3 linked regions of the Struthio camelus genome follow. Each later gene encodes a partner of the first gene's protein in a complex. Links are inferred from orthologs where the notes say so. Each region holds a gene or a part of one and is shown on either strand. Other genes may lie near its edges. The genes, in order: CACNA1S, CACNG1 and CACNB1.

Evidence for each region.
Region 2: CACNA1S (region 1) and CACNG1 share a complex: the UniProt entries of both Homo sapiens proteins name them as parts of the calcium channel complex. The link is inferred for Struthio camelus from reciprocal best matches to the Homo sapiens genes CACNA1S and CACNG1.
Region 3: CACNA1S (region 1) and CACNB1 share a complex: the UniProt entries of both Homo sapiens proteins name them as parts of the calcium channel complex. The link is inferred for Struthio camelus from reciprocal best matches to the Homo sapiens genes CACNA1S and CACNB1.

What each region holds. Positions count from the first base shown.
Region 1 is NC_090965.1:2,385,849-2,395,607, forward strand, and holds the start of CACNA1S (voltage-dependent L-type calcium channel subunit alpha-1S), read left to right. Parts: upstream 1-3,507; coding exon 3,508-3,668; intron 3,669-8,844; coding exon 8,845-8,950; intron 8,951-9,759. UniProt on the Homo sapiens protein: Pore-forming, alpha-1S subunit of the voltage-gated calcium channel that gives rise to L-type calcium currents in skeletal muscle.
Region 2 is NC_090960.1:4,232,156-4,241,914, forward strand, and holds the start of CACNG1 (voltage-dependent calcium channel gamma-1 subunit), read left to right. Parts: upstream 1-4,850; 5' UTR 4,851-5,119; coding exon 5,120-5,360; intron 5,361-9,759. UniProt on the Homo sapiens protein: Regulatory subunit of the voltage-gated calcium channel that gives rise to L-type calcium currents in skeletal muscle. Regulates channel inactivation kinetics.
Region 3 is NC_090966.1:6,440,111-6,449,869, reverse strand, and holds the start of CACNB1 (voltage-dependent L-type calcium channel subunit beta-1), read left to right. Parts: upstream 1-5,060; 5' UTR 5,061-6,668; coding exon 6,669-7,325; intron 7,326-9,759. Other genes in the region: RPL19 (large ribosomal subunit protein eL19), read right to left, coding at 931-1,041, 1,438-1,558, 1,795-1,917, 2,307-2,413, 2,921-3,384. UniProt on the Homo sapiens protein: Regulatory subunit of L-type calcium channels. Regulates the activity of L-type calcium channels that contain CACNA1A as pore-forming subunit.

The sequences.
Region 1 (9,759 bases):
GGGAATGTCCCTCTAGAAGGAGTTAATCCCTTGCTGGGTTCTAGCCTGGCATGCCAGCCCCACTCCCTGGTCCTCAAGGGCCCCCAGCACATGGATAACATTGGAAGAGCTGCTGCAGGGACTCTGGCCACTGCTAAAGGTCCCCATGAGCTGCTGTGGCCTTGACTTTGGGTGTCACGTGCAGGAAGGAAAAGCCGTGGTTGTCCTGGAGAAGGACACACTCCCTGCCATAGTCTGGCCTTGTGCTCAGACAGCCCATAGGGTCTGTGACAGCTAGGTCTAGGTCCTACAGGAGCCAGGTGTCAAAGCAGGGAGGTACATTTTATTAGGCTGGGAAAAGGGGAAGCCTTTGGGAGCAGGGGGCACACACACATGTCTGTGCATGTCAGGAGATGTTTGCTTTCAAGGTCATATTGCTTGAGAATGGCTAGTGCAGGGACCATTTCTATCCCTTGCTCTTCAAGATAGTAGGGGAAAGCCTTTCTGATTTGGCAGGCCTGGGCCAATCTGGTTGCGCTCTGCCTCTGGGAGGCCGTATGTCTCTGCCCTGTGGAACACAGCTATTGCAAAGGGATTGGCTGCAGTGGTGGAGTGGCTCTACTGCAGTCCCTGCTCCCATGTTAACCCTTTCTCCTTCCAAGCTGAGTAGGGCTCTGTCATGGGCTTACTGTGTTTGGGACTACAGGCACTGACCCTTGCTAACGCCATGTCTTTGTGCAGGTGTGGTGAAGGAGTAGAAGATGAGCATGAAGCTTGTGAAAGATATGAGGAAGAAGAGCGAAGAGGTGAAGAAAACATGCTGGCCTTGGCCCCTAGCCTGTTGATGGAGGCCTCAGTTGCATGAGGAAGCAGCCTTCCCCTACGAGATACATAGGAATATATCCATTGAGTGGAGATCACAGAAAGAGTGATTTGCTACACAGCAAGTGAGAGAGGGATTGGAGCAGGAAAGCCCTGTCCTCAAGCTAGCATCTCCCCTCTGCTACCTCTGGCTGATTTGTAGAGGAAGGTAAGTGTAGTCCCTGCAGGTAACTATGCAGTGCTCCCCACCCTCTCCCAGTCCTTTTGTTATGTCTCAAAGCATGAGGGTTCAGCTTTCGTCTAACTCTGAAGTTAGTTTAATTAAGGTCACATGGGAGACACAAAAATGGTTGGCCTTGGCACCAGCTGTGCCATGCCTGGATGATGTGGAGGAGGATGAGCCCTGGCCTGCAGGGACCACTCTCTGGCAGTTTTTGTTAAAGCCATGTGAAGTCAGTGCTTGTCAGCACAGCCCCATGCAAAATACAGAGCACAGAAGGGCAGCAAGCAGTTCCCAACAGCTGCAGAGGGGTGTGTGGAAGAGAATAAATGAATCAGGTACATTAGAAGGGCACATTCCAGAGGTGTTTGAGCCCAACCTCCTGCTCAAAGTAGGTCTGGTTAGGTCAAGTTGCTCAGGGCTTTACCCAGTCTAGTTCAGATTATCTCCAAGGATGGAGATACAGAGTTCAAAAGTGAGTAGATCGTGAATGAAGGCTTCTGGAGGGGATCAGAGAGACCTTGAGTGTCCTTTCCAGGTCCTTGCTTGCAGCAGATCTCCCACCATGCTCTCATCCTCTGGGACAGCTGTTGCAGCATGAATCGAAAGGGAGATGTTTCTTCTCATCCCCTGCAGAGGCCTCTTGAGAAGGAACCAACAGTTTCCTAGCTCTAAGAACAGCCCTAGGGCAAGTTGGGGCAGACGCCATGCCAGGCAGCAGCGCCCACTGTCAGCGTTAGCATGCCAAGCACATGCTTGCAGCCTGCCCTCTGGCTCGCCACTAGGTGGACCCCAAATCCTTGTCGTTGATAGGGAGGACACAGTCCAGGAATGGGCGCTCCTGGCAGGGGCACAGGCAGAAGCAGAAATACAGCTCATGGCTTTCAGCAGTGCTTAGGAGGGAGGAACGAAGACCAGAGGAGAAACAGTGGCATGTTTGGACCTGCCACTGTGACACAGAAATGAGGCTGGAGCCCTGGGCAGGAATAAATTGACTCTGGCTATTTTTTTTGCATAAAATGCAGCAGAGTAGTGTAGGAGAGGGCGGGTTACTGATTTTGCACCTCTACAGTTGAGGCCTCCTCCCCTCCAGGAGTGTCAAAATGGGCTGGAGCAGCTGCAGGAGTTGCTCTCTTATGCTGTCTTCCTGCCATGGGCCACAAAGGAGGGAATGATTGTCTTCGCTTGGCACCGTGGCCCTCGGCACAGCCTGCTCTGCAGCTGGTGAAATGACCCTGCAAAACAGAGGCAAGGAAGCTTTGAGCAAGGCAGTGTGGTACAGTGGGCAGAGCTCCCCCTGGGACACGGGTTGACTTGGGCACAGCTGTCTGGTTACATTAGGCTGAAGCATCTCCATAGGACAGGGACAACATTTGCTGAGGGACATACCTGTAAGTAAGAAAATTTGTGTAACTATTCTGCTAACTCAGTCCCTGGATTGCAGGAAAACCCCAAGCACTGCCCTTCCTGGTGCCTCTGTTTCCCTTGTTGTGAAAAGGTAGTGAAAACCCCCTTCTGTCCCTATGTGCATTGACACCTCCAGCTTGGGAGTCCCCAGCATTGTCCGTATATCCAGTTGGGCTTTCTCAAGCCCAGCTGGATTTCCAAGACGTCCCTGGAGCAGGACACAGCCCACCCTAGGCTTATTGTATTCCTGCATGTCCCAGGCATGCCCCTTGCCCTACAAGCAGAATTGAAGAGATGAGGCTGACCAGGGGCTGTCTGAGGTGATGAGTGCCAGCCAAGGCATACTTTGGGCTAAGCATCACTCCCAGGAGCTCTGAGTTTGGGGTCAAAGTTCCTGTCTGTGAGACGTACCCATCCCCAGAGGTACCACAGCCCTGGGGTCACAGGGCCAAGGGCTCAAGAGACCAGGTTGCATCTGAGGGTCTCCACATGAAGGAGAAATCCTGCAGAGAGACAGGGCTGATCAGTTTGTGGGATGACCTTCCTTGAGGAAGTGTCCCACTGGCCAGAGTCAGGTTCTCCCTCTCACCCAAGAAGTGCAATTCAGCAGATGGGGCCACATGCGTTCCCCCAGCCAGCCCAGTCTCTCTACTTGGGCGTGGAAGGCCCAGGGAGTTGGGGAAAGAGGTGACCCGGGGTGAGGGCAATTTTCCTTGGGAGGGTGTGCACCTGACTCTGGGCAGCCCGTCCCCACCCCCCGCCTGGCTCGGTGGCATGCAAAGCACTCATCTGCCTTAGGATAAGCCGGGTAAAGAAGCAACAGCTGCTGGGGTCCTTTTGCTGCCTCGGGAACTGTGACAGCACCCGGGAGCCAGGCTAGTGTCTAATTTTAAACTCATGCTTTGTGCATTTGTGCATGCGTGTGCAGCCTCCAGCCCCCACTCCCCCATGACCTCCCCCGGTGCACAGAAGGGACAGGCTTAGCAGGAAGGAAGACCCAGAGGGTCTCTGGCTGGCCAGGATCTGGGGAAGGGGGACTTGGCTGTGAGGCAGGAAGAGGCAGCTAGGGGAGAAACACCATGGAGCCTGCATCTCCCCAAGATGATGCAAAGAAGAGGCAACAGAAGGAGAAGTCCAAGAAGCCAGTGCCACCAGCAGCCCCCCGGCCAGCCAGAGCTCTGTTCTGCTTAACCCTGCAAAACCCACTTCGGAAGGCATGCATCAGCATCGTGGAGTGGAAGTATCCTTTAGGCTTGGTGGGCTTGGTAGCGCCTGCATGTGCATGTCTGTGACCATGGGTGCTGAAGAGGAGTGCTTGCTGGAGCAGGACCCCTTGGGGCTGTTAGGCAGGCAAGTCCTCAGCACACTTTGAGTCTGTGAGTTGTCTCTGCTTATGCTATGGTGGTGCTGTTTGTGGTGGCTGTCTCATCAGGCCTGCGAGGGAGCAAGGAAAAGCAAGGAAGGGCTTGGGCAGCCCCAGCAGGGTGCACTGGCAGAAGTGACGGCTGTGCAACCTGGGGGCACGAATAGGCTAGTGGGAAAGATAGGGCTGAGGAGTGGACCATAGGGATCCTCAGCAGGGTGTTTTGGGGACAGGAGGGGACAGCCTGAGTGGCAAGGAATGTATGCATACCCATGTTTTGTGCTGGCTGTGGCTGGTAGGAGCTGCGCTGAGGATAAACAGGGGACAGTCTGCCAGAAGGGGAGAGTGATGGTGTCAGAGGAGGGGGCACGGGCCCTGTCCCAGAGCTGGGATGGGCCGGGCAGAAGAGGAGGGCCAGGATGGAGGAGCAGGTGCTGAGGATGCAGCTTGGGAGGACAGGCCAGCCTAAGGAAAGAGGGGCTTGGGAGATGGATACAGAGACCACGGTGAGCTGCTTGAGATGGCTGTGTGTGTGTGTCACCGCTTGCCCACTCCTGCAGCTACTCCCTGCCATGGCCGTGGGCAGCTAGCCAGCATCCTCTAAATCCCTGCCGACACCGTTACTGTCTCAATCTCCTTATCTCCTCCCTCTCCACCACTTTTGTCACACGTGAAGGCTTTCATGGGTGAAGCTGTTTAGAGAGATGGTATCTCTGTGTGCCCTTGGTTTAATTTACGGATGGGTTTGTGATGGTTGCTCTTTAGTTGGCCATGCTTTGACTGGGGTGTTTTAGCTTGGAAGTGGCAAAATGTCATGTTTCTGCCACCCATCCAGGAATAATTTTAGTCCATTAGACATGGCCTTGGTTGTTTAAAATACAGCTTGTATTTTGTGGAATAGGACATTTTTGCCTTAACGGGACAGGAAACATTTCACTTGGTTTCAACAAAACATTTGGGCTCAACTAACACTGATAGGATTTGGGGCATTTCCAGGAAATCCAGTCTTTCCATCCCAACTTTTCTTATTTCAGTTGCTGAATGCATCTAGGTGTTCCTGGCCTTGACGGGATTCTCCCAGTCTAGGGTCCTCTCCCCTCTAGGGCAGCTTGGGCAGCCCCACCCCACCAGAGCAAGCCTTCATCCTGTGCCTGGGGGCTGCAGAGCCAAGCCTTGCTAGTGGGAAACACTGCCTGCAGTGTGGTATATGTGGTGCTACAGGGGCACCAAAACCATGCGCCAGCACCACCACTGATGCTGTCCTGCTCAAAGCCCAGGCTGCCCATTTGCAGACATTGACAGCATGCTCACACCACCTGGCAATGCTTTTCAGGGCATGGAGTCTGAGCCCTCTTGTTCCTATGTGGCACAAAGAGGCTCTCTGACCTTTGCGGAGAGGCAGCAGAGCCAAAATTGGGGAATTCTCCATTTCTACTTCTCTTCAGCTGAAGAATGGGGTGTTTTGCACAGCACAGAGCTGTGTCTGTGTCTGGGTGCAGGGCATGGAAGGAACTTGTCTGTAGACCCTAATGGCAGGGGTAGAGCTGGAAATAATATATATATATATCTTCCAGCATACTCAAAAACATTTTTCCTGATGGGCCAACATATGCCAGAGCAACTGCAGAGCCCCACTGAGGGAGGCCTTTCCCACACTGGGGACGTGGGCAAGGGGCATGGAGGGAAGAGGTAGATGTTTCACCAGGAAGGCCACAGGTGCGGGTAGTCCTGACCTGTGGGAGATGGACGATTCTGGGCATCGGGTTTCAGCAGCACCACTCTTGTGCCTGGCTATATTTATATGCCAATGCACCTGCCTCCCCTCACTCAGGGATCAAGGTTTACAAGGCATGACGGGGTTGTTCCAGCTCCTGTGGGTTGTTATGAGCTTCATGGCCAGACCAATTGCCAAATGGATACTAGTGTGACCATTTTCTGTGGGGATACCTGGTGAATGGGATCAGGTTACACATCTCTGCTCTTTGGCCTCATCTCTACTGCATAATAACTGCACTGTCAGAGGCACAAAGCTGAGGCAAAGAGCTAGGACAGGGTCTTTTCAGGCAGCAGGAGAGTGCTGGTATTCCAGGTCATTTTGTAGTCAGGAGGACTTTTAAGGCAGATGGGTGAGTCTGGGGACCATGAGCAAGGCACTGAGTGCCTAATTCCCACTGTGAAGCTGAAGTTGGTTCCTTCGAATGCTGCATGGCAGGAGGCTGCTAGGGAGCAGAAGTGAGATTTGCAGGGCAAGGGGATGAGGAGGGTTTTGAGTCTCTGGACTCTATCAGAGACCCGCTTGCCTCAGTGACAGTACCTGACTCTTGGCTGGCTGAATTGTCCCACTGTGTATCTACCTAATAACAGTCCCAGGCTCATGGCCACTGGCAGGCAATGTGGGACTTGCCTACAGCAACCTGATAATAGAAGAGCACTGAGTCTCAACTTCACCTCTGATTGCAAGATAATTCTCCCTTCAAGGAGGAGGATGTGGCTGTTTTCACCAGAGCAGGGGAACAAGAAAAGGACTTCTGCAGTTTAGTGGCTGTTGGGGCAGGATGTGGGCCACGGTTCCTGCTCCTCTTTCCATTGCTTTCACCAACTTGCTCCATGATGCTGAACTGATCCCTACACTCTTGCATCCTCACAACCACATGGAAACTGAAATGAGTGCTGGCAAGGTGGACTGCTCATCTCACCCTGTCAGAGCAGGCAGGGAAATCTCTAGCCCTTGGGCTGTGCTCTGTTACCTGGGGCACAGAGGAGGGCAGCTTCTTCAGCTGACTTTAGTTTTTAAAGTATCATCAATTTGTTGGCCAGAAGGGTCCAGAAAAGGCAAAATAACCTGACTGTGACCAACACAGGAGGACACAACTGGCAGCAGTCGGTCAGCTCAGCAGGCCAAAATGGAGATGGAGAGAATATTCCTTAGTGCTCTAACTCCATGATGCTGGGTTAGATAGTAGTATAGCCAGTGCAGCCCAAGGCTGACCTCAGCATAATTAACTATGGCGTGAGAAGGTGTCAGTATGGCTGCAGGACCCTCTCTGAGGTACTGAATTTTGAGGACTGTGCTGAGCTCTGTAGCAGTATCAGTCTGCATGGCTGAGTTGTAGATGTTCCCACAGAGGGGTTCCTGGGAGCTGTGCTACTTTGAAGGGTTGCCCAAGGTAGGATGAAAATGCTGAGAAATCCCATCTTGTGCTTTGGAAGCCTCTGCACCCAATAGATGAGATTTATCAGTTTGCAAGTGATGGAGATGAAACAGGCAGGTTCGTAATTACAGGTGGGGATGGAGATGAGAGAGATCTCAAAACAGTTTGTGGGGGTAGGCGCTGGCTGTGGTCATAACTCCTTGCTCTTGCTGTTGCATGGTAGGACACTGGTGAGGAAAAGGGGCTGCAGGGGATATGTGCTGATTTACTGGATATGCTGATTACTATTAGTTGATTTACTCTGTGGGTGGGTCTGGCCTAGTGGACACGTGGACTAACATTTTCATTTCCTGCATCTGCTTTTCGTTTCATTGGTTTTCAGTGCTACTGATAGATGCAGACAAGGCAAGTGAATCAGGGAGACATCAGGAAACATTATTTGTCAGGAAACTTTGGGGTGAGCATTGTGATGGAAAATGTTTAATGTACTTTTTTGCCCCATGCTCTGCCCAGTATGAAGTCTTCTGGCAGGACGAAGGCACTGGATGAATGGAGAAGATCCCTTTGCTTTTAGGCACAAGCACAGCTGCATGGTACTGTAACTTGAGCACAAATCTAGGACCCAGAGGCACTTCAGTTCTGCAGCAAGGCCTGGAAGTGGCCAGTTCCAGGGGTTAATCAGTCACCAAGGATAGGAGAATATTGCATATGCATGAGAGTGTTTCTGGTAGTCAAAGTACTCCAAAATATTTTGAGTCAGGGGCTCTGAAGAGTCCTGAGCACTCCTTACTCTTTCTGACCATTCTCACAACTGGTGCCTGTGCTATGCTTGTCCTGATCTCTCTCTGGGCAAGGACTAAGTTATGCAGAGTCAGGTAATGAGAGACAGCAAAAGATGATGGCTATCCAACCACATGTCTACTGCACTCACTGGAGACTGCAGGGTAGATTTGCACCATGCTGGAGGAACAGAGACGTGGGATCTCTGAGGTTAGAGTCATGCCCTGGGCAGGATGCTGGGGCCAAAGTTTGAGTTCTCTCAGGGCTTCAGCAACATGATAGCTGGAGCTTGACCATGAGAGTTCAGTGGCCTGGTGGACCAGTGAAGGCAGCAGGAACCTGGCTGTGACCAAGTGATCCTAGGGCTTGCGAGGGGAACAGCAGGTCAGAATATTTGGAGATGCCACAGGGGCCAGACAATACAATACACCTTTTTAGAGAGGGGGACAAAGCTCAGACTGACTGCCCTGGTTATTCCCAGACTATAGTGCTGCCTACACTGGGGCACTCAAGGCCATAAGAGGGCAGCTGGATGTTCTGCTAGAGGAGCCCCTGACTGAGCTGTCTTGCCCCTCCTAGCTGGAGTGACATAGCCCAGCTGAAATCTGCCTCTCAGCAGTGTCTCCCTAATGCCATTGACTGCAGAGGGAGCTAGGGCCAGCACACTCCAAAGGGTGATGCTTTGGCTAAGTGCTTCCATTTTGGGACAGGATCCTGAACCTTCCGGACAACCCACCAGGATGAGGGGGATACTGCCAGCTTTCCCATCCCCTGGTTTTTCCCCAACTGCAGCCTTTTAATTTGCGTCCCTTCCCATATATCCCATGCCAACACTGCCTCTCTCCAGCAGCTATGTCCCAAATATCCAGGCCCTGTGTCTCATCCTGGTCCATCACTACCAAATCCTCTCCGTACCCAGGGACCCAAGGAAGGGTACGCAAGTGTGGATGTGTAAAGGAAGCTTGACTGTTTTCTCTGATTTCCTGCCCCAATGGGAGGTTGTTTACTCACAGCCTGTGGGGTTTCCCCACATGCACGCAGACAGGTCAGGACATGGGCATAGGCTGTATTTGTTTTTTGGTTCCTTTCTTGTGTCTCCATTCCTTAATACCTCCTGTCAGACCCTTCGAGATCATCATCCTTCTGACCATCTTTGCCAACTGTGTGGCACTGGCCATCTACCTGCCCATGCCTGAGGATGACACCAACATTGCGAACTCCAGCCTGGTAAGGCACAGCCCCTTCCTCAACCACAGCAGCTCTGAAAAGTTTTGCCTCCTCACTTAAATCTGTTGTCTTCCACTGAGATATACAACTGCAGATTAATAGCACAAGGATTCCTTGTTCCCCATAGGTATGTGGTGGTAATATCTGTAATGGTAGAATCTGCTGTACCAGAAGCTTCTGCTTCCCTGAAGGGTGAAATGGGGCCTTTTAGGCCCAACAAGAGATGCTGCAAAGTCAGATAGAGGCAGTGTCCACAGTGTTGGGGAAACCACTGCAAAATGGGTTTTTAGAGTGACTGAAACAACCTGCAGGTTGAAATCTCTGCTTAAGCAGAGAGGTCACTCTATTCCAATCAGTTATTCTAGTTTATTCCAGGCACTCCATTTTGCCTGGAATAAGATGTTTTGGTGTGATCGAAATCAATAGTTTGCATCATTTTTGGTTCACCACAGCTTTCTCATCTTCAGATCTCTTTTGTGGTTCAATCTGCATTGACTTCCATTGAATGTCTGAGTTTGGGTAGTGAATCAAAATATCCAAATACATCTTTTTATAGTAAAATGTTCTTTCTTGCTGATTTTAGGAATTCGCAGTGTTGTGGAGGGGATTATGTGCAAGTACTGCTGGCACCTTGTTACTTAAAAAAACACCTCACTCATTTTTGCCTGTAGCTTAGAGACTCTGCAGTGAAAATGTTAGTCAAAGGATTTGAAATATAAAATATGAAGTAAGATTTTTATTTGAGCAATTTTTAATTCTTTTAGCTGCATTTGGCTCTTTCCCTCTCAACAGGCTTTCAACGGCATTAA
Region 2 (9,759 bases), on another chromosome or scaffold:
TCTTACAGCAGCGGTCAGTTTGCTTCACCAGAATTAAAGAGACCACTTACCAAATAAGCGGGCCAAGAAAGGCTCTTCATTATTTTAGGAGAACGAACCTGCAGCTAAAACGTTCAGGCAGATAGAAGTAGTCAGTCCTAAAGAAGTATTGCCAGCACTGTGTTCAGAAGGGCTGCAGAGCTGGTGCCAAGAAAAGCCCTCGTTAGGTTGAACGGGTGTATCTGCCCCTGGTTATCCGAAGGAGTCTATTAAAAGAAAAATACACACACGCGGGGGCCCACCACAGCAGTGTGAGGTAGGCTAGGAAGCTTGACTATTGCTAAGGAGATCCCATTTTAAGTAGGCTGCTTGTATGGCTGATTTGCTGAAAATACATGTAAGCTGAGAGCAGACCAGGCCCAATCTTTGCCGCTCTAAATAGCCCTGAAATTTGGAGAGGTTTAGATTCAAATTTTGCGGCGCAGGCCCTCTCTAAATCTGCACTAAAGTAGTTTAAAAACATAGAAATATCACATAAAGAAAATAAGACAAGTGCCCTGGATTCAGCAGACTGTGGGGGGCTTTCCCTGCACGGCGCTGCATTAGCTATTCTCTTTCACATCCCCACACATGCTCAGTATGAATTTCCCTTCGTGTCAGCAAGGGACACAACAGACATTTGAAGACACAAGTCTAGCGACTTACTTGCTGCAGTATGTCAGCCTAGAGAAATGACAGCCCCTGCCAAAATGGATTATTCTTCATTTTAATGCATAAAAATAATTACTTCAGAGGCCTGTGCAAATATATAAAGCCAAAGAGATTGGCCCCCACAAATCCCTCTAATCAGGGGTGGTTTGTACTTACCTGATAATGGTCTTTCACATAGTTCTGCAAGAAAGGAACCGCAGAATTCGATTAACCTGGTTGTGGTAAATACTGGGTCTGTTCTGGAAGAAATATAGGAAAGCACAAATTTTGGGGAACAGACCCAAGCCAACGACTCTGCTAGGGACAAAAGAATGCCATAGCTGATCTTGAAACATTTAGCATTTTCTGCAGGAGAGAAACACAACCAAACACAACCATGTCTCTCACACTCACTGCTGCTAAAGTGCAACTAATTATAACCCTCCCTGCTTCCCAACAGGTCCTCATTAATACACTGTTTATATTTCATGGGATATTGATTTTTAAATGTAGCTCCTTGCCAGCTGAAGCAGGGAGCCTGCTGGAACCGTTCAAGAGAGGACTATATACGGCAGTCTTCTAGATCCGCAGGCAGGTTTTGGAGTCTTCTGCTCCTCTGGAAGTCAGTTGTGCTTCTGCATTTGTTAGACACTCACCCAGCCACGGAGCGGACAGTAGAGGCCACCAGGCCCCCTAGGGAGGCCAGTTAAACCTCCAAGGTGGGATAAAAGTTCCATGTAGATTTGGGAAAGGGGCTAAACCTTTTGGAGACAAGGCAAGTCTTTCAGAGCCCACACAGCACATTCTGAAGCCAAGCGGCTTCACCGAATCCCTGCCAGCTGTCCCCAAACACACCCTGAGGCTCTGGCACAAAGAGCAGAAAGCAGCACCTGAGTAGCGTGGGTACGTCTGCTCTTCTAACACATGGAACACTATCCCCACAAAGCATTTTCTCTCTCAGGACCACTGGCTCCAGCTTATGTTTTTAGGCCAGGGACAATGACTCACCTTAGCCTAGGTGACTTTTCAGCCTCCAGGGAAGCCTCTACATCTTGCACTGAAGTTCATCCAAGCTTTAGCTTGTTCACAGTCTCGGGTCCTCTCTGCAGAGGAGAGAGAGGGAAGGATGACTTTTCTCTTTATCTTTTTGCTTTAGTGTTTTCCTGGTTATTATTAGAAAAATAAGAACAAAACAAAACTGGGGGGAACTTATCCAGATTGTAGTACTTGAATGAGAATAGAAGACGTGATTCTTGCCAACACTGGAGGAGACACAAAAACCAGCAGTAACAAAAAAATTAATGAGTTCCCACCCTTTCAGTCCTTACAGCTTGTAATTAGTCTAAAGTGTGATCATTAGCAGCTGCTTTCTCAGCAACCAAAAACTTGGTTGCAGTTGCTTTCTCAGCAACCAAAAGCTTGCTTTGTGCCCGCACTTGAAAACATGCATTTCCCATGCTCAACTTGCTGAGGACCTGCGGAGTTTCTAGTGTCAAGGAAGTAAAGTCAAGATGCAACTCAAAATCGACTGATGTCTAGTGAAATTTAGCAAGAGTCTACTTTAAAAGAGAAGACATTACATTTTTAATGCATTCTTTTTCTGTTTTAAAGTCTGTTCCCTTTAGGCTTTTCTGCTTTCATGAGAACTCTTGGCTCTGGGTAAGAAAACAGAAATGTAAGTCTCCATAATATTTCTCTATGTGTGACATGATTGCAGTGGAGAGGTCTCTACTTGGTTGGACAGTCCTAACTTGCATCTTCCCCCCTTAGCAACAAGACAGAACGGGCTTTGCAGAACAGCCTCTTGGTCAGGTCCTTCTGAGGGCACATTTTAGTGCTCCAGTCTTGGATCTGCCTCTTTGCAAAAATAGAGAAATCAGTCTCTGTTACTCTTAGCATAAAATTTCCTTGCAAACTGATATAAACGACTCGCTCTATTCAGCGCCTTTCTCAGCGGAGCTGTAAGCAGGTGTTGTTTGGGACTGTTGTGCCTTCACCCTGATTGAGTCACGCTGTGCTCTGCCATGGGCTGAATGAGGGCCCGCAGCCAACCTACGCTGGCTATTTCCATGCTCATGGGTCCGGTTTCTGCACAGACTTTTTAAATATTTGGGAGTCCTAAATATGAGAATCCTTTCTGAATTGTGTGGCTGCCAAATTGTACATTTGTTCTCAAGACCTCTTCAGCTGCTTCAATTTGATCCCCTTTTATACTTGATATTCAAGGGTGGGGCGGTTTCTAACCTTTTTCGAAGACCAGCTCTGGAGAGATTTCCAAAAAGCAAACTCCGTTGGGGAACAACTCTTCAGGGAAGAGGTCACAGACTCGATTCAGACTATTTGACTCACTCCAACCATGGTGCGAAAGGGGCTCATACCCTGGCTTGTGCTGGTTTCTGCTAGCTCCTGAAACCCTATGAACATCGCAAGGGCTCTCTGATGGTTTGAAGCCCAAACCCTGCACATGGCACTCCCTGAAGGAGGATATGAGCTCTCAGAGCAGCATCGAGCCAGGGCAGAGCTTCTGGACAGCGTGGTTTCACTTCTCTACAGCTCGCTGGTCGCCGTCCGCGGCAGTGGAGCAATCCGCGCTAGTGGGCTGCAAACCAGCTTCCAACCCTTTTTCCCCCAGCTTAGCGCTTTCGATCAGCGAGTCTAAAGCACTCTGCTGACGTTTTACCAACCGCCGCGTGGTGAGCCAGCTTCCTTTGGACGTGCCGCTGCCCCCAGGTCCCCGGCCCCGCTCCTTGTCTCCTTCCCCTCCTGCCTGGTGGGTTTTCCCTTCGCTTCTTCCTGCGGCCATCACTGACAGGCAGATAATTCTTTTAAATCCTATTTCAGCTACAGTTATTTTGGATCATTATTTTTCTAACTCACTATTTTCTTTCCATTGCCCGCAGCTCCCTTCTGCCTTTAGTTCATTGCTTCAAACTGTCCTCCTTAATTCGAGACGACACCGCCGTACCTTTTATCTTGACACTGAACCGGGGTGTTCATGAAACAGCGCTGGAGTAGCTCTGCCATTATCTTGACACGATAACATGATATTTGCAGATTTCCGCTGACATTTTTCAAGCCATCGTCTTGACGTTCAGGTGCTGTCGCCGTCACCGGTTCGACATCGCAAGGGTAATGTCACCCCCACAGCGGCCTCGGCGTTGGCGTTATCAGGAAATTACTTTCCTGATCAGCTTAAAACATCAAAGGCAAGGAGAGAGGCCGGGGACATCGAGGCTTCGGGGCAGGGGAGTCGCTGCTCGGAGAAGGGGGGGTCTGCGGGCAGCGCCGCGAGGGCCGGGCGCTGGCGTGCGGTGCGCCTCGCGCCGGAGACGACGCAGAACGCCAGGGCTGGACAGAGAGGAGCCGACATCGGCCACAGAGGGCAGTTTGAAGGAGCCAGCGATACCAGTTACGATGAGCACCGAGGCAAACCCCGGCTGGTGGGAAACGAAGAAAGCGCTCCGGAAGGTTTAGGATGAGAAAAATGATTCAAAAGGCGCAAAAAAACAGGTGTGAGAAAAGCAATTTAGTGATTACGCCTTTTTCTTTCGGAAGAACCGGAGTGAGCTGTGAAAGCAAATCAACTTCACTCAGTAGTTCCCACTGTAAAACCAGAAAAAGGGTCGGCGGGGCAGGGGGGGAGAAACGCCAAACGGTTTTGTTCCAGCGGTCTCAAAGCACAAAGCGTCTCGCGCAAACTGATGAAATACGTACTTGCCGTACTTTATACATCGAACTTTGGGTATGACAAAATACAGCTCTCAAACCATCAGCGGCTTCAGAAGTGAACCAAACCGTTTTCCTTCGGCCTGAACAAGACATTTGGGTTAATTCAAAAAAATAAACGTTCTCGTTAAAAAGAAACCACCCCCCCCCCCAATTGCTTCAGCCACAGCCCGTTTATTTTCACCGCCCGCAACGGGGCTGGGGCGCTGCAGCGCCGTCCGGCTCGAAACTTCTCCTTACAAACGCTGACGCGAGCCCGAGGCGCGTTGTGGGCTTTGAGTCTACCCTCCCGCTATTTACAGTCAGGCCCAGCGCTATCACAAACCCACATGGGTGGTTTTTTTTTTCCCCCCCCCCTCTAACCTAGCCGAAAAAGTCAACCCTTCCCTTCATGCCTATTTCTGGGCAGGCTGCAAGACCGCAGTCCCCTCGCGGCGGCTCTAAGGCCGGCTCGCGGGCGACCGCCAGCCAAAGCCGAGCCCGCCGGCCGCAGCCGCGCGCCCCCCGCCGCTGACGCCTCCCAGCAGCTGCCCCGGCGGCCGCCGCGCCACCTGCTCGTCCCCCCCCCCCCAACCCCTCCTCCCCTCCAAACGCGGCAACGCTGACGTTTGAAGACGCTCGGACGCGCCGGGGGGGCGTCGGGAGATCAGCGGCCCGGCGGCTCCACGCCAGCGGGCCCGGCCAGAGGCCGGCTGGCTCGCGCCCGCCCGCCGCGCCGAGCAGCATGGACGAGAGCAAACCCCTGAAGATCCGGCTGACTTTCTCCGTCATCCTGGTCGGCGTCTCGCTCCTCTTCGCCGCCGTAGTGACTGACCACTGGGCCGTGCTGAGCCCCAAGGTGGAGGAGTACAACGCCACCTGCGAAGCGGCTCATTTCGGGCTATGGCGGCTCTGCACAAAGCGGATTTACGTGCAAGAGCGAGGCGCCGGGGAGAAGGGCTGCGGGCCCATAAGCCTGCCGGGAGGTACGTGACGGCGCTCGTTCCCCAGCCGCGCACAAACCGCACGAGAGAAAGCGTCAGCGGTGACTCCAGGCGGTGTTTAGGAGGTTACGGCACACGGCAGGAACAAAATACGGTGTCTCTTCCCCCCCCCACCCACCCCGGCTCTTAATCTGACAGGGCGCTGCACGCTGCTTCGCTTTCGTATCACCCTGCAAACGCCGCTCGCTCTCATTTCTCGTGCTGTGCATGTGCGCCGCCGCGTTGCCTTGCCCATGTATTTTTAACCATATTTTAAGCCGTCGGTCCCCTGCGCGGCAAAGGGAGCGGCGGGTAATCAGGGAAAAGGATCGGACACGGTGGAAATCACGGACTGGATGGAGGATATCGTGCCGACATCTGCCCAGGGTCCCACGGCACGCGGGCAAACCCACGCCACCTCCGACGAGCGTCGGCGGAGGGAGGATTTGCAGGACTGGGCCACCCTGTGTGGCTGAAGCAGGAGGGTTTCCTGCTTCAGCTGGCTATGAAGGAACAGCTTGTTCATGACAGTTATTAAGTTATCCACGGGCTATTTCAATAACAGTCATTGCTTGGGGCTGCGAGCAGGGCTGCGGTTTGCCAGCTTCCAAAAAAAGGCTGCAAACGGAGTTAGAAATGATTTGTCACTGCCTTCCTGAGCCTCCTTACCTTGCAGCGAAGGAAAGCCCGGGCTCTGCAGCTGAAAGCAGCCTAATCGGATGCATTTCTTCATTGCAAGGTATTCCACCGAAATCAATAGGAAGGGTGGCAGAGGAGCGATCCTAGCTGGTTTCCAGGAAGACCCTTACATTCCCGTGGTAAAAGGAGCTCGTTATATGTTTGCTGATTGCAAAGTCAGCAACATTCACGCAGCGTGTACTAATATACCCTAGCCGTGACTGAACTACGCTGCTTTTTGGGAAGGCTGATAGGGAACTGGCTTCTTTCCAGAACAGAAATAACAGGATTGCCTTCACGTTAGCCTCGCTGTTTGAAATGAAATATGTATGTTAACACATATTTGAAGAGTTCTTATGAAAATCTTGCTGCCTGTGTTTAGTGTATATTCTCTATGTTACTGCAATTCTTTATCTGTTTGGCAGAATTATTTATTCTGAAGCGAGGAGCTAGCCCGCAGCATTCAGATCTGCCTCTAGCCAAATTTGGGAGCGCGTGATCTGGAAACTTAACGTCTCTCGTGTAGGCGCTTACATATTCCTCGCTGTAGGCTTTGCTTTGCACGTGGACAAAAACTCACACAAAAGGAAAATAATAGAAATTGGTTGATAAATGCAAAATTGCACCAACTGCTGGATAAATATAAAACTCATAAATATCCAGCTGTCTCTGGAAAGCAGATTCACAGGCAGGGCAGCCCGAAAGGGGCTACTATCTTTGACAGACATCAGCATGTGCTTGCACAGACGTTGAATCATGTCCCCGCGCTGCCTTTCTAATGGGCGCAGTAAAGGAACGGGTAATTGTGGAGCTACCGAACCGAGCCCTCCACGGGCAGCTCGGCCACACCATGGGCAGCTTGTCCGGCTGGTGTGCTTTTGTGGTGTTGAAAGATAGTCTAGAATTTGGCTGAAGTCCTGGGTCAAAATAAGCTTCTGAGGTTTCCAGCAGCCTTCACCTTATGAATTACATCCTCACCTCTTATAAAATAAGAATTAAAGCCCTCATTTTACTTACACAGAGGACATGGCATGGTGAGGTGACCAAGAGCCCAGCCACCGAGGACGGCAGGCTGCTGCCACGCTGCCTTTGCAGGTCTCTCCTTAGGTTGATTTCCCAGTTTCGGAAAGATGTCAGCAGAGAATCACTGCGCTTGTGAAGCCTGCGAATGACCAAATGTGGCGTAAAAGAGCGCATAGGTGGAAATCAGTTTTCCTGAAAATCATGAGACATAATCAGACATTACTGCTGTCGGTGGAAAAGAAACATAAGAATTTATCACTGTATTAATAACCATTTACTAGTCACTCTTAGGAGGAAATGGATGGCACTATTAATATTATTTATTAGTTTTTGAGCTTAGCGCAGTGCAAAATGTGGAAGATGACTTGGCTCATAATCTACAAAACAGGCCTGTGATTTAAGCAAAGATGTTTAAAATTTAACAACACTCTTCAGAGGATGTTGACAAATTGGAAAAGGGTTTGGCATGCTGCTGTGAGGAATAAAAATATCAGGGAGGTGACAGTTAAAACTTGGCAGATTCAGATTAATGTAGGGACATTTTAAACTGTGATCGATGGACCATTGGAGCCATTTACTAAAAGGTGTGACAGAGACCTCTGTCACTGCCAACCTTTAACTCCAACATAGGTGTCATCCTAAAAAGCATGCTCTTGTGCAACTGCAAGTTGGGTAGCACGAGTGATGCTCTATAGCCTGTGTCTGCCACAAGCAGGTTAAATCATTCCTGTTAAATATATGCATCTGAATTCAGGCAGCTGGAGTCTGACAGGAAAATAACTAGAGCAAATGAGTTAACCAAAAGGGTGTCACATTCCCATCCGTACAAGAGACTCACCCTGCAAGACTACTATGAAGTTAAACTATTCGGAGCTACCATCTCCAAAACTCAATGATGTGTTTCAGAGCCCCTCCTCTGGCTTCCCCCAGCTTTGATAGCCAGGTGGAAACCCAGGGTCTAGCATCCACCATCACTTAGTCCTCACCTTAACCCTCAACACCTCCTCTAACCATGGCAGCAGGTCCTGTCCCCCATACTTAACACAAATGACAATCTCAGATTAAAAGCATCCCTCATCCAGATCTTCCTAACCTTCCAGCATGCCACAGATACCCCAACGCTATCATCCTTCTCGGGTTCAAGAGCAAACCTGACTCCAACCCCTACTCCATGCTGATCAGTGATGGCTGCCACCCCTTAAACTCTGCATGCCCCAAACATCTGCTTCTCTACCCTTCCTTCCTCCAGGAGGACTCCACATTGTGGCACTCAGAGGCTCAACCTCAGAGGCTCTTGTGTTACAGCTTCATCTTGTGGCTGCCCTCAGGCTCCCCATGGCTCTGCGTGGCAGGAGGGATTGGCTCTGCGGAAACAGAGGAAAGAAGAGTTAGCCCATTTCCCCACGCACAGAAGTCATCCAGGAGTCGTGGATGTGAAGGGAAGGGGCCAGGAGTGGTGTAAGCAAAGGTGACCAGGAAGGGGAGGGCAGTGTGTGATGAACCACGCTAGTCCTCTGAGTTCACACCTGCCCCTCAGGACTTCAGAGCCCCTGGACTGGGCAAGTCAGTGCAGTAGGTGACATCATGATAGATATTATGCAATTAGCAGTGGAGAGAAACCAAGATTGCCACAAAGTTTTCATCCATTATAAATCTCATTTTAAATCCTATCCATTATGTAAATGTGGTGTGACACAAATGGGCTTTTCTCTAATTCGTGATGACCCCCAGAGGGACTGAAGTCCCTCAGTTCTCTTGAATAATAGGGGACTTTGTTGATACAGATATTCCCAGCTTAGCAGAGCACCAAAGTGTCTTTAAACTGAAAACAGTATACCACTTCACCCCCCAAAAAAATGGTTTTGTTCTCCCACAATAACTGTATTTACCAATACGAATACCTTCCCAAAGCTAACTCACTTGTGTGATAACCCCATTTATCATACCTTTCAAGAGCTTATGCTTTAAGCCACAACATGCAGAACCAGCCTCTTTTCCCGAAGATGAGTCCCTTTCTGAAAGAGGCTTCCCAGCACTCCCCAGCTGCTGACTCTGCTTGGGCAGGAGGGGGGACTCCCTTGGCTCAGCCAAGCAAGGGGAGACTTTGGAAAAGCACCTGCTTGAAGACAAGGGCTCCTTAGCATGAGGATAACACAAATAACCATTTCCTTTTTTGCCTTTTTGCCTGTATTCTAGTTTAAAAGCAAGTACCACTGAAAAATACATCAAGGTGTGTGCTAATTTCAGACCCTTTGCCATCTTCAGGAAAGAAACAGATCCTATGCTGAACTACACAACGTCCTGTAAATCTGATTTTTTTAATGACTTATGCGTCATATTTTATTGCTGGGCAATACTCTCGCGGTGCCCATGTTTGTGGGTCACTCTAGCTATTCAAAACAGAAGCAGGAATGGTCCCCTCCACCATGCATGATTTTATGATGTTTCTAATCCCATCAGCGGAGACTCTCTGCCTCCCTGCTCATCCATCGAAGCGTTGCGCTGACCCACACTGAGCCAGCTGCTCTCAAACCAGGGCAGTGTTATCCACTATTTATCTGTCACATACATAAGTTATCCATCTGCCATCTACACAAAACTGTGAAAGTCACACCATAGCTGGACGTGTTTGACCGCTGGTTTTGTACAGTCAGCACCCTCAGGAATTCCTTTCAGTTCACGCTTTTCTCTTCATAGAATA
Region 3 (9,759 bases), on another chromosome or scaffold:
TGTGCCAGACTGGCTGCTGCAATGAGTGCAGCTCGGCAGGCTTCGGTGCATGAGCTCTGGTGCATTCAGAGCCCTAACTGCTGTTCCCTGCGCTGCTAGGGGCAGCGTTAACCCAGTCCTGGTTGGCCACGAGCCCCAGGAGGACACTGGGCTCTGCTCAGGGACTCCCTTGCCCCATGCTGCCAGGCTCCAATGCTGACCAAAGACGAGCTGTGATCCTTGCCCTGCCTGGGGACTCCTCCCACAGCAAACCTGTTTAGGCTGACTGGGATCAAAATGCACCAGCCAGGTCAAGGTGACCTGGCCGAACTCTGGCCTTCAGTGGGCCAACACACTCTTTCCCCTTGAGAGTTCCCTTGTGCTTTGTGCCAGTTCCCTGCTGAATGCCAGCCATCCCTAAAGGGGATGTTCCTGCTCTGAGAAACTTCAAAGAACGAGTGAGACTGGATGGGGGTAGGTTCGGATGCGCAGCTTCCTGAGGACACCGGTTGTCTGAATGCTCCCTCAAGTCCTCACTGGCTCCAGTACCTTCCTGGAGGGCAAGATTCAGATACCCAGCTTCTTCACTACGTACGCAGCAGGATTTTGAAATCCATCCACTCCTAGGCCTCAGCTCCTCCCCTTGTGAATCATTTACTTTTATATAAGCAGCTGGCTCAGTAGCTCTACCAGGTTACAGACGCATGAGCAACTAACATCTGCTGCACACACAGCTCTGCCAGGATTACGTATTTCTCTGCTTTTAGCCAGCCCTACCCAGTTTTGAATTGATTCTTCACCAGTGCTCCAGACAGAGCCACCAGCACCAGAAGCCACTTGAAATTACCTGCCTACAGAACAAGTTATATTAACCTTCCCTCTTCCCCCCCCCACCCCCAACCCACTTCCATAACCTTCGGGACTGAAGCTTAACAGCAAAGCAGCACTTACGCCAAGAGCTTCTTGCGAGCTTTATCTGCCTTGAGCTTGTGGATGTGCTCCATGAGAATCCGCTTGTTCTTGAACACATTACCCTTGACCTTCAGGTACAGACTGTGATACCTAAAGGAGAACAGACTGGACTGTAAACAAGGTCACCCAAAGGATCAAACCACTGTGCAGCTTCTGCCTTCCAGGCGGATGGGCTCTGCACAGCAGGATGCTGTGTGCTGTGACAGCCTTGTCATCCCCAACCTCTGAAGCAGCAGCACAGTCGTTTGGTCTGTCTTTTCCCCCCTCAGATCCAGAAGGGAGCTTGTCTGGAGAACTGTCAGGGTTATTCTGGAGCAGTTTTCCAGTGCCATGCTTTCTGGAGAGGATTTATTTTCACCAGCATACTCCACACCAATGAACCGGCTGCAGAAGCTTCATGCAGCAAGAAAGGTGTACCTAAGTGCATGGACACTCTCCCCACCACACCCCTGCTCCCAAGGCTGACAACTAGGATGGCAGGCTTACATATGGCGGTCGATCTTCTTGGACTCCCTGTATCTGCGGAGGAGACGCCTGAGAATTCTCATTCTCCTCATCCAGGTGACCTTCTCAGGCATACGAGCATTGGCCGTACCCTTTCTCTTACCTGGAGAGATGGGACAGGATGAGAACATGTCCAGGTTTCTCCAAGTTCAACAATATCCCTTTGCTCTAGCCTTTAATCCTTTTTACTCTGAGAAGGATACCATTAACGTACTAGCTGCGTTTTTAGGCCTTGCCACCAGACCTCTGGAGATCTTTGCTCAAGACAAGCTTGGAGGTGAACCAAACACCATGCAAAAAGACATTTATTCCAGTTCTCAGGGGGAAGTCGGCACTTACCGATGCCCATGTGCCTGCCCTTTCGGCGGGCTAAGGTGTTCTTCCTGCATCGGGCACGAGAGTGGACAGTCACAGGTTTGCGGATGATCAGACCATCCTTAATCAGTTTCCTGATCTGCTGACCTAAAGACAGAAACTCCACGTTCATGATACCATGTGTAACAAAAGCAAAGAAAGACGCTAAGCAAAGAGAGATCCCTATTTAGCTTGTGTGAAAAGGATCCAACGTGAAGGACAAGGCAGACCTTCTCCTCAAGGACCACTCATGCAGCTTGAGTTGCTCGTTTTCCAGCCCGTTTCTCCCTCGTTAGTTATTTTTAGTGGCTAGCACATACTAAAGTCGCTACCAAGAAGTCGCCAGGCACTACGTTTTTATGAGCGCGCTGGAAACGTTGTAAACTCTGCTACTGGGCTCGTGTCTCCTTGGAAAGATAAGAAGCACACAGCAGTTGTTCAAGGGTCAGCATCTCCCCTAAGCCAACCACGTCACTACCGAGAGGCTCATTACTTACGAGAGTTGGCATTAGCGATCTCGTTGGTTTCGTTAGGATCCAGCCAGACCTTCTTTTTGCCACAGCGCAGGACGCTGGAGGCCAGCCTCTTCTGGAGCCGGAGCATACTGAGGAGAACAACGCGCACAGCTTAGCACCGCGCCGCCTCGTCGCAGCGCCCGAACCCAGGCCCGCTCGAGCCGGCGCGGAGCTTTCCTCCTCGAGGAAGCGCAACCTGATGGGAGCCGGCTGCAGGCAGCACCGCGGAGACAGCGCTGCTCGGCGGGGAGGGGGCGGCCGCAGCCGAGGGGCAGCGTTGCGCAGCTCTGCGCGGCGAGCCCCCCTCAGCGCGGGCCCCGACGGCCATTTCGTCCCCCTCCTCAGCGCGGGCCCCAACCGCCATTTCGCCCCCCCCCCCCCCCCAGCGCGCGCCCCAACCGCCATTTTCCCCCCGCCTCCCCCGGAGGCCCGAGGAGGCCGCGGCCGCCTCACAGGCCGCGCCGGGAGCCTCCCCGCGCGGCGGGCCGAGCCCCTGCCGCTAGCGAGGGTGGCCGCGGTCACCTACCCACCCACCCCATCGCGCTGCCAGCGCGGCCCCCGCAGGCCGGACGGCGGCGGAGCGCCCCGCCGCTCACCTCATGGCGGCGGCGCCGGCACCCGCGCGGAGAGGAAGAGGCAGCAGGCCCGGCCGCGCCCACAGCCAGCGCGACGGGCGCTCGGCACGTACCACCCCGCTCCGCCCCCCCCGCCCCGCTCCGTCCCCGCAACCGTGGGGCGGCCCAAAGCGGGGCGGGAAAAGAGCTACGGCCCGGTCTCGGGTGGGGGAGAAGCGGCGGAGGGGAGGGTCTGAACCCACTCGAGGTTTGGGGGAAGAGATGTGTTTTCTGCCCCCCCCCTCCTCCCACGGCGTGGTACAGGCCGAGGCACGCCGCGCCTGCGCAGTGGCGGGGTGCCGGGCGGGTTGCGCGCATGCGCGGTGGCCGGGAGCGGGGTAGGGGGTGGGTGCAGGGTGCAGGTGAGGGGTGGGGGTGAAACTGGGATAAATGGGGCCTGGACACGGCTGGGCCCGAGGCAGGCTGGGCCGGAGGAGCACGGGCATGCCCTGGGGCTGCCCGGGCAGGGCTCCGAGGTTGCTGAGAGCTCCTTGTTGCCTGTGGAGAAGCCCCTTTTCCTGCGGGTCTTTCTCTTTTGGGGTCAGTGGAGAGGCCGTTGCGACGCCTCAGGCCTTACAGCCTTCTTGGGCGTCGCTGCTCAGGGAGCTGCAGCTGGCCCTGCCCTCTGCAGCTCACCCTGGCTTCTCTGAAGGCCTCTTAGCAGCCCTCTGAGCGGAGGGGAGTTGTCCCCAGCCCGGGTTCGACCGTGGTTTTAGGCCGTAGGTGCGCTCCTTGCCGTCTCCACCCTGCCTGGGAAGTTATAGAGTAGGAAGGATTTAATGTCAGTTTTTCATATTGCTGTTTGTAGCAAGAAAATGGGATCTCTGTGTCTTCAGCATTCATCTGCTGTGGTTCCTTTATCTCCAGGAAGTCAGCTGAGAGGGTGGTGTGACTATCCAGAGGTTAGTGCAGTGCCTAGCTGCGATCTTGCCTCCTGCTTCGTTTCTGCGTGTGAATGAAGTACCACCTCTTTTGCAGTCATTACTTAGGTCATAATGCTGCTGAGAAAAGAGAGGAATTGTATTTTTCCTATGAAATTACCTCTTGACATGGTTACTAACAAGGCTGCGGTGTGAGGGTTGGTATTGGTAGACAACGTTTGGCCTTCCCAGCATTTTGTAACCTAAGCACAAGCGAGGTCTGAATGTATCACTGGTACCGTTTCACATTTGGAAAACCAAGGCACGGGCAGCCTGAACCACATTTTATATCTCTCCCAGCCTGACGTGTCTTCACAAAAAATGCACTAGTAAGGCTAGAAATGGGCCCAGTGGCAAGTGACATCCTTTATCTCAAAGAAATGACCTAGAAAAGTGCTGGAGCCTCTCCAGGAACAGATTGTTTAAGAGTTCCTGGAAAAAGGAAGAGCTTGCAAAATGATAGTATATACGTTGTAACTGGTATAAAAAAAAAAAATGTAGGGATTTCTTTAATGCAATAAAGAATGTGACTGAAATTCCACTTTAAAGCAAACTGGTGCAGCACAAATGTCACTTTCTAACAACCCAGATGTTAAATAATGCCCAGATTTGTAATTTTGTATTTGTTTTTTTCCCTCCTCCCTTTAAACTGCTGAAGGTTGCAAGTGCCTGGAAAGTTGTCCCCCACTTGTCCCCAAAGGCTCCTTGTTAAACACCCAAGATAAGATGCTAACAAATCATTTTGGATCTGGCGGACGTAACACAGTCAACATATGGCGTGAGAAGAGGAGCCGATGGCAACAGATTTTTGGTGCATTTTGAGAGAAAAACACAGATAAACACAGGCTTTTGCTGTTTAAAAACTGAGTCATCATTTTCATAAAACAAACAGCAAAATCTGGAGGCTCTTGAGACAGGAGAGTGGCTAGGCTTTAATTACTGGCCCAGGAGCAGCTCCAGGATTTTGCCTACTAACACTTCTGGGAACCTGCCACTACGAGTCACTTGGCCAGTTGTGAGGGCTGGAGGCAGGAGAGTGCCTATACCTTCCTACTTATATGTGTGTGTGTGTCCTTCAGTCTTACGGAAGTATCATCTTATGCTCTGTGCTTTCCAGGGGACCAGAGATGAAGAGACCTGTCTGACCCCAGATACAAAGAGAGAAGGTTTCAGCTTGGATTTGCAGCAGCCCAGGTAGGGATGCTCTCCAAGGAGGTCTGAGGAGATGTGCCAGTTCTTCATCCTCCCTCTCCTTTCTTTGCGTCCTACGCTGGACAGGCAAGTCCATAGCTCTGTGTCAGCAGAGCCTCCCTGCGCTGCTGCAGAGGTGGCCGCACTGACTCGTCGAGTGCATTAGCTCTGTGGAGGTGAGATCCATTGGGAGCAGTTGGCAGGGGCTGGGCAGGCACCGGGTTGCCCCAGGTGAGCCACCCGCCAGGGACAGCTTTGGCATGCTGAGTCCTTAGCAGCGCCTGTCTCCTACGCACAGGCAGCAGCGGGGAGGGCCTAGGGAGCAGAGTTGCTCTGGCAGCGTGAAAGGAGAGACACCGTAATTGTGTTATGCTCCCCCGCAGCTGCCGGGGGATGGTGTCTTCACCCTCCGCCTCCTTCCCAGCTCCCTGCTGGCAGAGGCCTTCTGCTGCCTCTGCCCTGTCACCCAGCTCTGCCTCCTGGGGCACCCTAAACACTACCCTCTGCTCCCAGCTGGATCCACATCTCCCCCAAACCAGCCTCTCTCTGGGGGCTCGAGCTCCCAAAGCAGTGTGGCCCTGGACAAGGCGGGCAAAGGGGATGGACAAACTTGCAAATTTGGGATCAAGGAAGTCCTGAAGTCCAAACTGGTTCCCTCCTGCCCTCACCCACGCGCAACACCTAGGGCTGGGCAGAGTCTGCACTCTAGCAGGGTTCCTGCATTGCGCCCCTGGGTCTGCCACTGACGAACTGCCTGACCTTGGACAACTCATCTCCCTCTGAGCCTCGTTTCCCCACCTGTCCGGCTGAGATGAAGTATGAGCTGGTGCCGAGGTGCAGTCATAGGCACCTTACAGTGTCGGTGATGGATGGGGTCTAATAATGGAAAATGTGGCGTCAGCTGTCCTGCTTCCATGGGCACATTGTCTCGCAGCTGCGGGATCTGGGAGGCCAAAAAGACCCAGTTCCAAGGGGTGGAGGGATCCCGAGGAATTTTTAACTTTCCAACAGCTGGTTGAAAGCCGGTGGCTGCAGCTCCTGCAGTTCAGTTCCATGAGATGAGTGTGGGAGGTCTCAGACCAGTGCTAAGTAGGGAGGAGGTGATTGCCCCATGGCACCCGTCACTGACAGGCTCTTCAGGGATGCCAGGGCTAAAGAGGACAAATATACCAAAGGGGCAGAGGAAGGAGGAGGCCACATCCTGTGAGGCGCATCCCAGACTGCCTGCCAGCAGCTCCTGCCAGCGGGCACACGTGGTCTGCCCATCGCGCCGGCTGGCACGAAGAGGCAGGGCTGGTTCGCGGGTCCCTGAGGGCCAAGAGCACAGAGCAGCTGCAGCCTCACTGGGGGCAAGAGGGTGCCAAGTACAGCCCTTCCCCAACTGCACGCGGGGCCCATGAGCCCCTGGACGTCCCCCTGTGGCTGCGAGGTGCCTGGGGTGCCTTTTCCCATGCAGATGCCTCCATATCTGGATATGGAAGCCCCTGGGGAGCAGATGGGCCATGTGGGGGGACATGGGGTGCTTTGAGCGTGGGTTGCAGAGACCCCACAGAGATCTCTGCTCTGGGGAGGATCTGAGGATGGGATGAGGGGGAGAAAGTAGAGGTTTAGGAGAAGCCATGAGCAAACTTGCCCTGAGGGAGCTGTGGGTTCCCCGCAACGGGGCACATCCAGGTGCAGGTGCTGACGTTTGGGGAAGGGGGCATAGCTGCCCTTGCACCCCCTCTCAAGCCATGCAAAGGTTCGAGGGCCCCGTGTCCCCCGTCTCCCTGCAGCGAGCCCCCGCAGCGAAGGAGCGAAAGCCTGCATATCCTGGGCACACAAGCTGCTGTGGGCACGGCTGCAGGACTCCCGCACTGTGGGGGGGATCCTCCACCTCCCCCTATCCTCCAATCACCCCCCCCCCAGCCGCTGCCTCCCCTTCTTGCCCCGGGGAAGGTGCTGTTTGGGGGGTGCCCTACCGGGGCGGGGGGGCCTGCATCCCGCATCCCCCGTCCCTCCCAGAAGTGCGGTGGGAGCGGCCGGGGCGGGGGCGGAGGCGGAGGCCCGCTGTTCCCCCCTCCTTCCTCCTCCTTCCTCCTCCTCCTCCTCCTCCTCCTCCCCCCGCTCCCTGCACGCCGTCCTCGCCCCGCGGGGCCGGTGCTGCGGAGGCCAGGCCCGGGCCCCGTCCCCTGTCGCCAGCGAGCTCCATGGTGCGGGAAGGCGGCATGGCCCGCACCCCATACAGCTCCACGCAGGACATCCAGATGGACGTCTTTGACAACGCTGCCCTGCAGGTGACAGCCCAGGGGGCTCCGGGAAGCGGGGGATCGGCCCCAGTGCTGCCGTGCACAGCCGCAGGCAGCTGAACACAGGGTGGGGGGCGAGCCCCATCGATCCCCCCGGCTTGGCGGCACCGCATTTGGGGGGGGGGGGGGGATTGGTGTGACTCGGCCCCCCCATGCCCTGGGAGGGAGGAGATTTCAGCCCCTACCAGGCAAAATAGGGTGGCTCCCACTCATGGCCAAACTGCTGGGGGGGGACTCCAAGTGGGATCCCCCCCTTTCATGCCAGGTACCCCGAGGGGGGGTCTACCCCCAGCAGGGGTTAGGGGTTAGAGCACATTGGGGTCGGCACGGACGGGTTTTCTCTGTGTCGCTTGCTTGCTGTGTCACCGCTTCCCAAGGGGTTTGCCCACCTGGAGCGCGCCGGATGGGGAGCTGGGTGTCTGCAGCCCAGGGGCTGCCCTGGGGTGTGGGGAGGAGGTGTCTGCGCACTGGGAAACTTTTAGGATTTGGGCAAACTCTGCATAGATATGGTGCGTGGCAGCTCCCCCCAGCCCAGTCCCCTTCAGCCCAGGTGCGAGGGGTTGTGGGAAAGGGATGCGTCTCTGGCTCGTCCCTCTGGGAGCAGGCGATGTGGGGTGGGGGCATCCCAGACTGGGAGTGGAGCTCAGCACTTCGTCCCTATGGTCTGGCTGGATGCTGTCCCCTCCCCACATCACTGCCAGCCACCTCCATGGGGACAGACCCCCCCTCCTTCGCTGTCTGGGGAGCATCAGCGAGTTGGAGTGACAGCGGGTTGGGGGGAGCAGGCCCTGGCTGCATCCAGCCCCATGGTATTGCCAGGCCTTGGGCGGACAGCAGCTTTGCAGACCACATCTCTGCCGCTTCCAGGGCGTCTCTCTGCATGGCTGTGGTTAACCCAACGCCGGCAGCAGGGCTGCTGGCCTACCCACCCCCGGGGACATTTGCAGCTGAGCCTGAGCCACGTCCGTCGCCTGCTCCGAGCGACGGATGGGGCTGGGTGGTCGGCGGGGGGCCGGGGGGAGTTGAGGATGAAGAACCTAAAAATATCAGGTCCTGCCCTGTGCAGGGACCACGCATCTCCGGGCTGGGTGGCAGCTGGGCCCAGCTGTCCCTCCGAGACGCCGGGGAGGCGACAGCCTCGCTCGCGGCTCTGTGCTGCCCCGGCATGTCCCTGCCTTTTGCCCCCACCTCTGCCCCGCGACTGCACCCCAGCACCCACTCAGCCGCGGGGCACTCTGCGTTCCCCCGGGCCTGGCGGCTCCCCGGAGGAGGTGCTGCCAGGCCTGGGGGGCCCTGGGGCAGCTGCTGTCTCTTCCAGTTTGCCCCAGCAGGAGGCACATGAGGAAACGGGGCAGAAATGGGAGGTTTTAGTTCAAACAGGTAGTTGTGAAGCCGTGGGCTCAGCCAAGCCGGCTGGGTGCTGGGAGGGAGAGGTGCGAGTTTGGGGGCTCGGAGGTGTCAGCCAGGGTGGGGGGAGCGTGCTTGTGGTGGATGGCACACGTGTGTGCAGCCGTTTACACAGAGCACGCGTGTGCGAGCCCGCTGCCAGGGCATGGCGCGTGTGTTGGCGTGCGTGCATGAACCTGTGCGGGGCTCGGACACGGGGACGGAGGTGTGGGGATGTGCCTGTAGAAGGGCGAGGGCCGTGGGTCGGAGCGTCGCGTGCGTGTGCAGGGCCCGCGTGTGAGCAGGCGTGCTCGGGGTGCCTGTTGCATGACCGCCCCGCAGCAGCCCAGGCCTCGGCGGCTCCTCGCTGCCTGCCCGGGTGATACCACCCCGTCCGCAGGGTGCTGCTTGGAGCCTGGGCAGGATGGTTCCCCCCGTATCTGCTGGTGACCGGTGGGGTTGCTCCCCCCATACAGCTCAGGGTCAGGTTCTTGGGGCAGGAGGAGCCCCAGGAGCTCAGAGCTGCCCCCGAGGCAGCCGGCCTCAGCTGCAGGGGTCCCCGGGGCTGGCAGCATTGGGGACAGCGGTGTTGGGGGTGGTGGCTGTGGCTGTCCCCTCGCTGCGGCGAGGAGCCAGACGCAGGCAGCCGGGCTCTCCCGCAAATCCAATCAGGCCCTGTGGCCTCCCTCTCCTCTCCATGGAGACTAGTCCCAGCCTAGTGGCTAATTCGATGCCAGGTCCCTGGGGACGGCCTGAGGAGGGGGCCGCGTGCCGTCTGCTTCCCTTGCTGCAGCCGGAGCTGCTGGGAGCGGCAGGGTCCGGCCTCCCCCTCGGACATGGGCCCGACTGAACCTCCCCTGCACAGCAGACACCGTGCAGGGCCCCCAGCCCACTGCCTCCCTGCCTCAGTTTCCCCCTGCCAAAGAGGTTTTGCGCCACCTCCTTGGGAAGGGCTGCAGTGCCTGTTGGCTCTCACCTCTGGGGTTAGCCTGTGAGCACCCCCTGCACCCCGCTCCCGCCCAGCAGAAGGGGCCTA